2 linked regions of the Drosophila melanogaster genome follow. The protein of the gene in region 1 interacts with the protein of each later gene in a pairwise test. Each region holds a gene or a part of one and is shown in the gene's direction. Other genes may lie near its edges. The genes, in order: CG13131 and CG9360.

What was found.
Region 2: the proteins of CG13131 (region 1) and CG9360 interact in a two-hybrid assay, tested with the Drosophila melanogaster proteins (one large-scale study listed by BioGRID).

The regions. Positions count from the first base shown.
Region 1 is NT_033779.5:10,012,678-10,019,288, reverse strand, and holds CG13131 (uncharacterized protein), read left to right. Parts: upstream 1-1,825; 5' UTR 1,826-1,957; coding exon 1,958-3,125; intron 3,126-3,179; coding exon 3,180-5,655; intron 5,656-5,708; coding exon 5,709-6,018; 3' UTR 6,019-6,062; downstream 6,063-6,611.
Region 2 is NC_004354.4:11,762,758-11,766,523, reverse strand, and holds CG9360 (uncharacterized protein), read left to right. Parts: upstream 1-1,933; 5' UTR 1,934-2,042; coding exon 2,043-2,618; intron 2,619-2,700; coding exon 2,701-2,880; 3' UTR 2,881-3,050; downstream 3,051-3,766. Other genes in the region: m (miniature), read right to left, coding at 44-197, 3,243-3,320.

The DNA.
Region 1 (6,611 bases):
ACACATTAAATTTCCGGTCGGGCGTCCGTTCCTTAAATGCAGAAGGAAATGCAATAAACGCCAAACTAAAAGCCACGCCAAAAATGTACAAAAATTACGGCTGGCGAAGCCAAAGCAAAAGGGGCATAATGGGTGGGTCCATGCCAGGGGATGGGGTCATGGAAAATGCCATCATGGCCAAAGAAAAATGCCGAAAATGAAATGACGCTAAAAGTATCGCAATAAAAACGCATTAAAATGCCTCACCAGGGAGTAAATAATTTCTGTTGCTCCAATCGCAGACATCGATTTGACTTTGTCGTCATGTACAGGGTAAGAAACGCTTTCCAAGATCAAGGACGAAATGTGATTATAAACCCAGAGGTATAATTAAAAAGTTTTTTATCTCAGAAATGTCAAAAAATTGTATATGCGAGGTTAAAGGTATCTTAAAATATGCTACGAGTATAGCACTATTTGAAACATCTTTTCAAGTGCTTTCAACATAAAGATGCAATAGTTTTGCAATGCATCAGTTATTGAAATGCAATAAGTTCGTATTTTTTTTTAAGTGTCCCTCGTAGTCGAATGTATTGAAATACAATCGATGCTGAACAATTAGGCGCCGATTCGGAGGGACTATAGTCTGTAGTCTGGGAATAATATTTTTATGGCCAGTGGCGCGCATAAATCCCGTCCAGCCGGCGTGTAATTCAAAATGGACAGAGGAACGTGCGACGGGAACTTGGTAATTCCCGGCAGGATATCGACTGGTTGCATAATTTATCGTCCTGCTTGATTTGAGTGCATAAAGTCGCTGCCCAACGCCTTGGCCTCAAACTCTCAAGTTTGCTCCTCAAAATCTGCTCAATGAGCCGAAGATGCAGAGCATTTTGTAAGGCGATGCGCTTTTAATGTGTTTATTGACTTGGCTTGGCCAACGGGTTGGCTCGATGATGGGCGGGAGATTAGGCCAATCCATCAAATGCTATAAAGTTAATTAAACAAGATGCTGCCGAAGGAGTCGAGAAATTGGGTCAAGCTGCATGCACCTTGCGCTTGCTAAATGCATTTTGCATATTTATTGCAGTAAAAATTGAAATAAATTCCAACTACGATTGAATGGCATAGTGAAGTGTGCTTGTCAATTATAAGTGTTAATACATATATTTGTAGATATGTTTGTGTGTGTGTGCTGTAATCCTTTTCCCCGAGCAGTAATTGCATATGAAACATGCATTTTCACTTAAAATGGCATGAAACTAATCTCCTTTTGCAGGAAGTGGGCGGGTATGCATACTATATTAAATAGTATTTTGCGAACTGTTGTTCTCGAAGGACGCTGTCTGGCTTTCAGCAAAATCTACTTTATTCGAACAACAGTGCAAAAAACTCAATAATACTCCATTGAATGCGTATATTAAAAATGCAGCAGAAACTTAATTAAATTTCCCAACTGAGTGAGTGGCTAGAAACACGTACAATCAGAGCCATTCGGCCACACAAACTTCAATTGCAAATTACAGAAGCCGCAAACAAAGACAATAGAAATTTTAATAATTCCAGAACATACAGCTTGAATGAAATTAATTAAGAATATAGTCGATTGTGAGTTCTGAAAGAATCAATCGGATTTAATGATTTAATAACAAGTTACTTTAAAGGCCGAAAAACTGCTGGTGCAAATGTATCAATTTTTTTAGCCTTTTAGCAGTTTTTTCGTCATTTTACCATCAATACTCACATAAAAAACCTAATTTTCGAAACATAAGCTCGAAATAGAGTTGACAAATATGTCTAAATATTTTAAGTACCCGTTAACAACGAACATATAGACTATATATTTAGGAATGTGTGATAAAACTAAAAGTTAAGAAAACATATTTGACGAAAATTGCCGGAATCTATGTGCCATTTCGTTGCTTGTTAAGTAAGTCGACCTGATTGGCCGTCTAAAAATCAAAATAGCTGGCTTTTGATGTTTCGCTTCTACAAGTTGTACTCGTTGTACATGAACAACATGACCAGTAGTGGAGTTGCATGGCCGCGGGAGTGGTGCCTGTGCGGAAAACTGCCGCGGGCGGTGCTCCACATCCCGGTGAACCATCGTCTGATCTGCCAGGTGTGCGGATTGGCCAGGCGCCCCCAGGCTGGACTCGATTCCTCCAGCGATAAGGATGCAGATCAGAGCACCGAGGAGCAGAAGACGATTATACCAGAGCCCAGCCACGTGGAGGAGCCCAAAAAAAGCCAAAAGACTCGGGTAAAGGTAACCATTAGGGGCAAGAAGCCGAAAGCCAAGAATTGTTGCCGGACAAATTGCCACAAGTGTGGTGGCTTGGCCAAAGCTGAAGTTGGCCAGGAAAGTACTGAAGCACCCAAAGAGATGAAGTGCAAACGGTACCCGGGGCGTCATGGCTTGCACTCGAAACCGAAGGGAATGATGAGTCGTCGACAGCTGGCGCCCAAAGCACCGCCACCTTCGACGCCGTCGTCATCTCCAACGCTATCGCCATTGCCTTCATCACCGCCATCGCCCACAGCACCACCACCACCACCACCACCTCCGCGTCAAGAATTGGAATCACCACGTTCGGAGATGCCAAGCCTGGTGGCCATGGCCCATAACGTTTTTAATCCAAAAAACAGCCCGCTACAGAACTACAACAATCTATTTGTCAGTAACTTTATACCCTTACAAAGTCCCATTACGGATACCTTCGGGGGAGCTATATCCAAGAGGAGCAGGAACAGCATTCGTCCACCACGCAGCCACAGGAGTCGCCCGCTGCCACCACTTTCCAAAGTCTTAACCAACATCTTGAGCAGCCAGAACTCGACGGATGACAGAGAGATGGGTGGTGGATTGAGTAGCTCCAATTGTAAGGACTCGCAATCGACCGATTCCGAGCTGGCTAGCCAGTTTTGTCCATTTGATCACTATGAAGGTCCATCCGAAGATGCTCTTGTCGTGAATAACGCTCGTTATATGCTTCATCGACCGAAATCACTGCACATCGAACCACGACAGGATTTGCGCAACAATCGCATTGAATCGTTGAACTTTCAGTTGAGCTCTACTAAGGACACAAAGAGTCCAATCGCTGACAATCTATCAGGCATCCTATTCATGGCGGATTCAGTTCGTAAAAATCTTAAGAAAACCATTGATAACATTGGAAACGAATGCCATATTTCAGGTAAAACCAGCCCAGCCAAGAACTTGGCCTCCAAACCGGCAGTTACTCAGCAGAACAATCGGGAAAATAAACCGGAAGCGTTGGAAGACTTCGAAAGATCTTCCATTTTAACCTCAATCATGGACAAAGTTTTCAGCTCACAGGAATCGAAAAGCTCAAATGGAAACTGCGATGATGACAAGATACCAGAATTGGAGGATATTAATAAGCCGATCAACGACATGTTCGTCGAGGACCCTGAATCGGTTTCTTTGAAAAGTAATGTATCAAATGAGCACAGTGTATTTTCTTCAAATAAAACAAACAACTATAATGATTATTCCAAGCCCGTTTCAAAAACACTAAGCATAAGCAATTCCATTTGGGAACGATTTTGTGATAACAAACCCAAATCGACATTATATAAGTGTGCTCGCTGCGGACAACAAAAGCATCGTGAAGATATAGTTGCTAAAATTAAAATAAAAGATAGTAGAATTCCAAAAAAATCCGATGCGAATCAAATATGGCTAAATAAAAAAATAGGATGCGCCATAAAGCAAAAGCTCAATAGCTTAAGATCCTTTTCTGGAGCACAGGAATGTAAAAAACACGAACACGAAGGGCAGAAATCCCTAAAACTAGCAGATCAAGGAGTAATTCCCGAGATTTTTAGAGAAACCCTACGTATGCAAAAACAAAAAGCTACGAATGACAAACCAAAAGAGGAAAATTTAAGACTGCAATCCATAAATACAAACATTCAAAGGAAAGCACAACGAATTTATCAGGATGATTCTTCGGAATCACAGACTCCAATAAAAGATCATAGCACTTCAAAATGTTTAAATCTACAAGAAAAAATAGATCATATCCCACCGAGGGATAACAATCCAGCCAAAGTAAATGATCAATCAAAGATCACTCCTTCCAAGATACACCACGAATGTCTTCAAAAACGACCCAGAATCGCACTTAAAGTTGTGAATTTAAACCAATCTCAAATATCGGATAATAACTTTCAATTACGTAGACATAAGGAGCCATCGTTCAACTGGGGAGTGATACAATTCTGCGAGACTGTATCTCATAGGAGTCTAGTTATCCCCAAAATACTGGTTCCTACTTATGTTGGTGAGTTGGTGAATATCGGTCAAGCCACGAAATGCTATATCAAGGAGAATATTCTTCCGGATGATCCGCCTTCGTCTCTCTTTGAGTTTCGCATCCCTGACATTAGTCCCAACGAGCTGCTATCCTATCGAAGTTCGGATAACATTAGCGGAAGCTGTACTCCAATACCTCATATAGCGAGTCCAAAGGAGCAACCTATAAACCACAAAGACCCGTGTCATTCTGTTGATCCATCTCCGCCAGAAAAATTCGAAAGTCGTAGCACTCTATACGAAAATCTTGAATTGTCGTTCACCACACGAAAAGCAGATAGTTTTAACCATCCCAATGACAAATTACCTGATTATGAAAATCAAAAGAGTAACAAATGCATGAAGGCAAACGAGAACAGAAAGTCCAAGTCCACAGAATTAACAGATGCTAATTTTAGCTCCTTAAGTGACAACAATATGAGCTATAAGATAGAATTAGATGGTTTAAGAAAAGAAGAGAACCCAATAAAAGAATTCAGTTTAAAGACTGACATTACGGCAGTTAGTAATACATTTACGAGATCTAAAGAAAATACAGAAAATTCAAATGATACATTTTTCCAGGAGAGCCGCATTACGTTACAAAAGTACAATCACTCAAAATTGAGCAATGCGATTAAAAAACAAATAGACAAATCCTTGCAACAGAAGATTAAAAAAATTATGACTAAACCGATAAAGTTGCTAAAATCGACTGATTCAGATTCAGTTGAAAAATTTGTGGAGCCATTTACAAACAAATTGAGCGCCTTCGATGAATATAATGCAAACTCTACACAAGAAAACTTAGAACTTGAACCAAATGTCATTTTGAATGAAGAAGAGGATATATCTCTTTCAAATTCCTTCACGGAATTAAGTTCAAGTCAAAAGCCATTACGTCTTATAGCCAACCTGCACTCCTCAAGTGACTCCGAACCAAAGTGTCTAATTGAAGAATCTAAGGTAGAAACTGATTCTGATGGAGCATCGGAACCGATGCTGACCTGTCGAACCACCGAGTATGCAGGATTGCCTCCTCTGAACTGGCAAGTAATCACAATGGGCTCAGCTCATCCAAAAAATATTATGCAGGATGATTTGGAGTCATCTCTGGTAGAAGAGTATTACTGTCCCATTCACATGTGCGGAAGCCTTATAAAGTCGAACACATTTTCTTCGCATATCCTGCAAGATCATCGAGTTTGGAAAACCAAAGATGCTCCACCGCAGGAAGATTACCATCAAGTAGTGGAAGGTTTACCAAAGCAGTTCTGCTTCGATGGCGATCTCCTCACGAAAGGAAACACTTTTGTGGCCCTTCTCTTGTACACCAGCTTAGCGAAGGAAAGGTTAGCTACTGAAAACAAAAATGATATATCTATTTACTAATTCTAACCCTTAGATCACATCCAATGCGGAATCATCCGCTGACCTTGCTAGCTGCTCCAAAAATGGCAAAGGATGATGCATTAGCCGGTGTTTTCTTCTGGCTGGTCGGTTGTCCATCGCGTGCCAAACTTCTTGCCAAGCTCACAGTCTACGATCCATTCGATCAAATTGGACGGAGTATGATCATAAGACCACGTGATTTATCTGAGAACCAAGATCCTCAAGAATTTGTAGTCAATTCGAAAGATCATTTGCTTATCAGCGTTCCACATAAGCAAAGGACTTTTCAAATAACTGTGGTCATAGATGAACCGCAAACTTAGTTATAAAGGATATCTATTTACTTAAAACTAAAATCTATAGACGTAAATTTTCATTTTTAATCCCTTTGATACCACGAGTTTAATTTTAAAGACAAATTGTATGTTGTATATTTTTTAATAAAACGTTCGAGCAAGAACTAAAAAACGCTCAAATATCTCTCACATCAGATCAGAATTGCCTAGCTTTATTTATATAATAGTTAATTGCGTGTTACACTACTAATTTCATTAAGTTGTTAGTTTGCTTTAATTACATGTAGAGTAAATATTCATGCACATAGAAACGTATGCGCTCACATCTACGTACGTACTCGCTATGATTATTATCAATTGCAATCGTTTCTTGCACCTGCCTAGTGCGTTCCACTGTATACATTTACAAACATAGGAATACAAATAGGTAAAATATAGGTAGTTTGTTTAACGGCTTAAGAACTTTTGCGAAAAAAAGATGTCCAACTGCATGGTGCATAACCAAATGTCTTTGTCTCACATAATATTCCGTTTAAAAATATTGTGTTTCATATGCAAGCCTACATCCAACAATAAAAAATATTGCAAAACCTCAAACCTAAGCTCAATTTAAAGCAGAT
Region 2 (3,766 bases), on another chromosome or scaffold:
GTTAAAGGATTATATGCGACATTCCCATATGAAGGCGACTCACCTTTGGAGCTGACGATGCCCTCGAATGGATGCGAAAAGGTGAGATGTACATCCATGTGATCCTTGCCGCACATCACCTCCAGTGAGACGATATTGGGCATTCCGTCTGGCCGTTCCATGGGCCACAGTTCATTACCAGCTATGACTAAACTAAACTGTAATTGAAAACAAAAAAAAACCAGAGAATCACAATTTAGTTAATTGCATAGAAAGAAAAAGATAACTTTTTCATGCATGTGGGGCTGGACGAAGTTTAAGTGATGAAACGCTTAAAGAACAGAAATACACGTAAAAGTCTTCCATGAATTACAAGTTGTATGGATTTCAGCTATAACTTGATATTCCCGATCCCGAAATTCATTGGCCAGCCTTGTGGGTGGGCTCCTAACGGTTCCACTGGCACCTGGCACCTGACAAACGTGTTGCCAATAAAAACGAAACGGCAATCCAGTCTCTCCAGTCTCTTCAGGCTCTTTAGGCTGGTCTTCGGTCTGCAGTCCTCAGTTCCCCCCCTTTTGGATGGCCAATGAAGGCCAATCGAAATGGGAAAGCGAATTCCACTTGGCCTGCATCCGTTTGGCTTTTTGAGGGGGATCTAACTGGAACCTGTGCTCCAATCATGCTGAGGGGCTTGTGGTTTTCGGGAGGTAGTTGCACCTGACACATTTGCATATTTGCATATTTGCATACCGATACCTGCCCCAAACTGCCTTGCCACATGCCGCATAGATCGGCTTCGATCAGCAAAATCAAATCGAGGGAAGTCTGAGCGAGTCGCTGGCTCAAGGAATTTGCATTTTCCTTGCCCCCGTCCGCAGTAAAAGTTGACTTACTGGATGAGTGGCAACTGAACAAGTGGGTATTCATATATATATATATGTTGAATATATATAACCGGCTATATACCATCCGATCTTAGCTGGTGCCACATTGTCTGGCGTCGCCACAACGGACCAAAATGGAAATGCAGGAATGGATCGTATGGATCGCAGCCAGATCTTCCAGTTGCTTGTTACTTGTTACTGTATAAATTAGTTTATGCAAATGCATTGTAATTGTTTTACATCTTGATCAAGCCAACGAATAGTTTAGCATTATTGCATTTACATTTAACGCATTTTGCTTGTCATGCTTTTCACAAGCTTATCTCAATGCTTTACATCATATTCTCATTCGAATGAAATATTGAAACAAAATCAGTGACAACAATACGTATACGTAATGGTCAATAGCAAACAGTCAACAGTTCGTATACGTAATAAAAATATCAATTTGTTTCCCAAGTTTAGCTCTTGCTTAAATTCGATTTTTGTTAGTCTGATAATACACATATATGTATGTATACTTATAAACTGCCTACTATCAATGAGTTTGCCTTCGAAAGCAAAGCAAACTGCTTACTTACAATGATTTGCAGTTTTCAAGCGAAGCAAATAAGCGTCATGTTTGAATTCTATTACATTAAACCTTAACTGAGCGCCAACAAGTAGACAATTGCGAGCGATTCCATATCATTTTAAACGAGTGTGTCACAATGTGGTGTTCCCCCTCTTTGGAAGCCCCCAGCCCAAACCAAATGTGCTGACCCATAATGAAGTCCACTCATGCTCATTCTTATCATCATCGAAAGGGGAGAGCTATCGCATAGTACATATATGTTTGGAGTATCTTTCTAGAATGAGTTGATCAACAGAGGCGCGATGGCTTTATGCTGACTCACGATTACGATACAATTGAGAAAAAAGCCGGCTGAACGGCGAGAATGTTTTGGACTCGGCCCAAAATGGAGACGAGTGGTGAATACTATTACTCTCTCAAATTTGAGCTCGGAACTGATCGGCTCTGCTGGGAACTGCGATGATCTATAAAAGCAAGTGGATCGGCAATGAAAGAGCAGTTCTAGAACAGGTCGCGATCGCAAACCAACCGTATATACATATATATATATATATACATCTCAGTTGCATTAGACCCGTACAAACAAATACTAAATACAAATTATGGATCGTTGGCTAAATCGCGTTGCTGTTGTCACTGGCGCCAGTTCGGGAATCGGAGCTGCCTGTTGCAAGGATTTGGTGTCCAAGGGCTTGGTGGTCGTGGGTCTTGCACGTCGCGAGGACCGTCTGCAGGAGCTGAAGGCTTCGCTGCCAGCGGACCAGGCCAGTCGTTTCCATGGACGCAAATGCGATGTGAGCCAGGAGCAGGAGGTGATCGATGCGTTCGCATGGATCGATGCAACACTGGGCGGTGCCGATGTGCTGGTCAACAACGCTGGCATTGTTCGCCTCGGTGTGGGCATCACCCACGAGGGTAATGGCGCTGATCTTCGTGCCATTCTGGATACCAATGTCCTGGGCGTTTCGTGGTGCACCCGCGAGGCTTTCAAATCACTGAAGAGACGCAATGTTAACGATGGACACATCCTGATTGTCAACAGTGTGGCCGGACACCGGGTGATCAACAACCCAGGCATCACCATGGGCATGTATTCGCCATCGAAGTACGCAGTCACCGCTCTCACGGAGGTGCTGCGTCAGGAGTTCCACAACAACAAGACCCAGACCAAGATTACGGTAAGTGCGCAGAGAGAGATTAGCTTAAAGTTGACATTTCGATTACCCCCTTTTCCGATAAATATCCATTGTGATTTTACAGAGCATCAGTCCCGGTGCCGTGGACACCGAGATCATCGACAAGGAGGCTCTCGTTGGCATTCCCGACTTTCCAATGCTCCGCTCTGAGGATGTGGCCGATGCCATTAGCTACTGCATCCAGACCCCGCCAAATGTCCAGATTCACGAGCTGACCATCAAGCCTGTCGGCGAAACCCTCTAGACTCTAGATTTCCCACTGGATGCTTCTGCTATTTGTGTTTACAACAAGGAAGTGTCATATGAAGTTGATCTACTATATTTTATTTTTATTAAAAATATATATATATCTATATATATATATGTATGTATGCATGTACCAAACGTTATGTGATTAAAATTCTTTAGCAAACCAAGTCCCAATTGTATCTAACTATTCTTCAATTTATTGCCTAGATCAGACCACAATTTATGTGCTGTAATAGAAACATTTGTTGATCAAACAAATTGTAATCATTTTTCCGTAGATTAGATATTTTTCTATTTTTTGTTTGCCCATGGTTCACACTAAGTATTATTGTTTACAATTTGATTTTGCTTACTTACCATTAAGTGTAAGATAAATATACAGCTACTAAACCTAAGGTCCCACAGTCGTGTAGGGCCTTTTTGTGGGCTCCACATGTTGGCGCTGTGGGCGTGGCGATCGGATCTGAAAATAGGGAAAAAAATACATAACAATCAGATAAATTTAGGCAGTGGTTGGTTTCTGAGACTACCTCAATAATATGTGTATTAGAACTAAAAGTAATCTTAACTGGTCTCCTCATCTCTGTTTTCAATGGATTGCTTGTTCATTGGGTAACAAAAAAAAAAAAGACGAAAAACCCCAAGTTTACACTCTCAACAATTTTATTTTCTGGCATTCATAGTATTTATCTTATATCACAACAATTTAAATAATGCTCAGCTAATGTGGCACGGTGTTAGAAAGTAGAAATCAGCTGCCCCAAACAAACAGATATGTATAATTGAAACGCTTTCACTGCACTGCGCTTCTGTTATTCTACGTCCGTGCCAGCCAATCAACACTGTACCACATATGTATATTTTCAATTAATTGCACACTC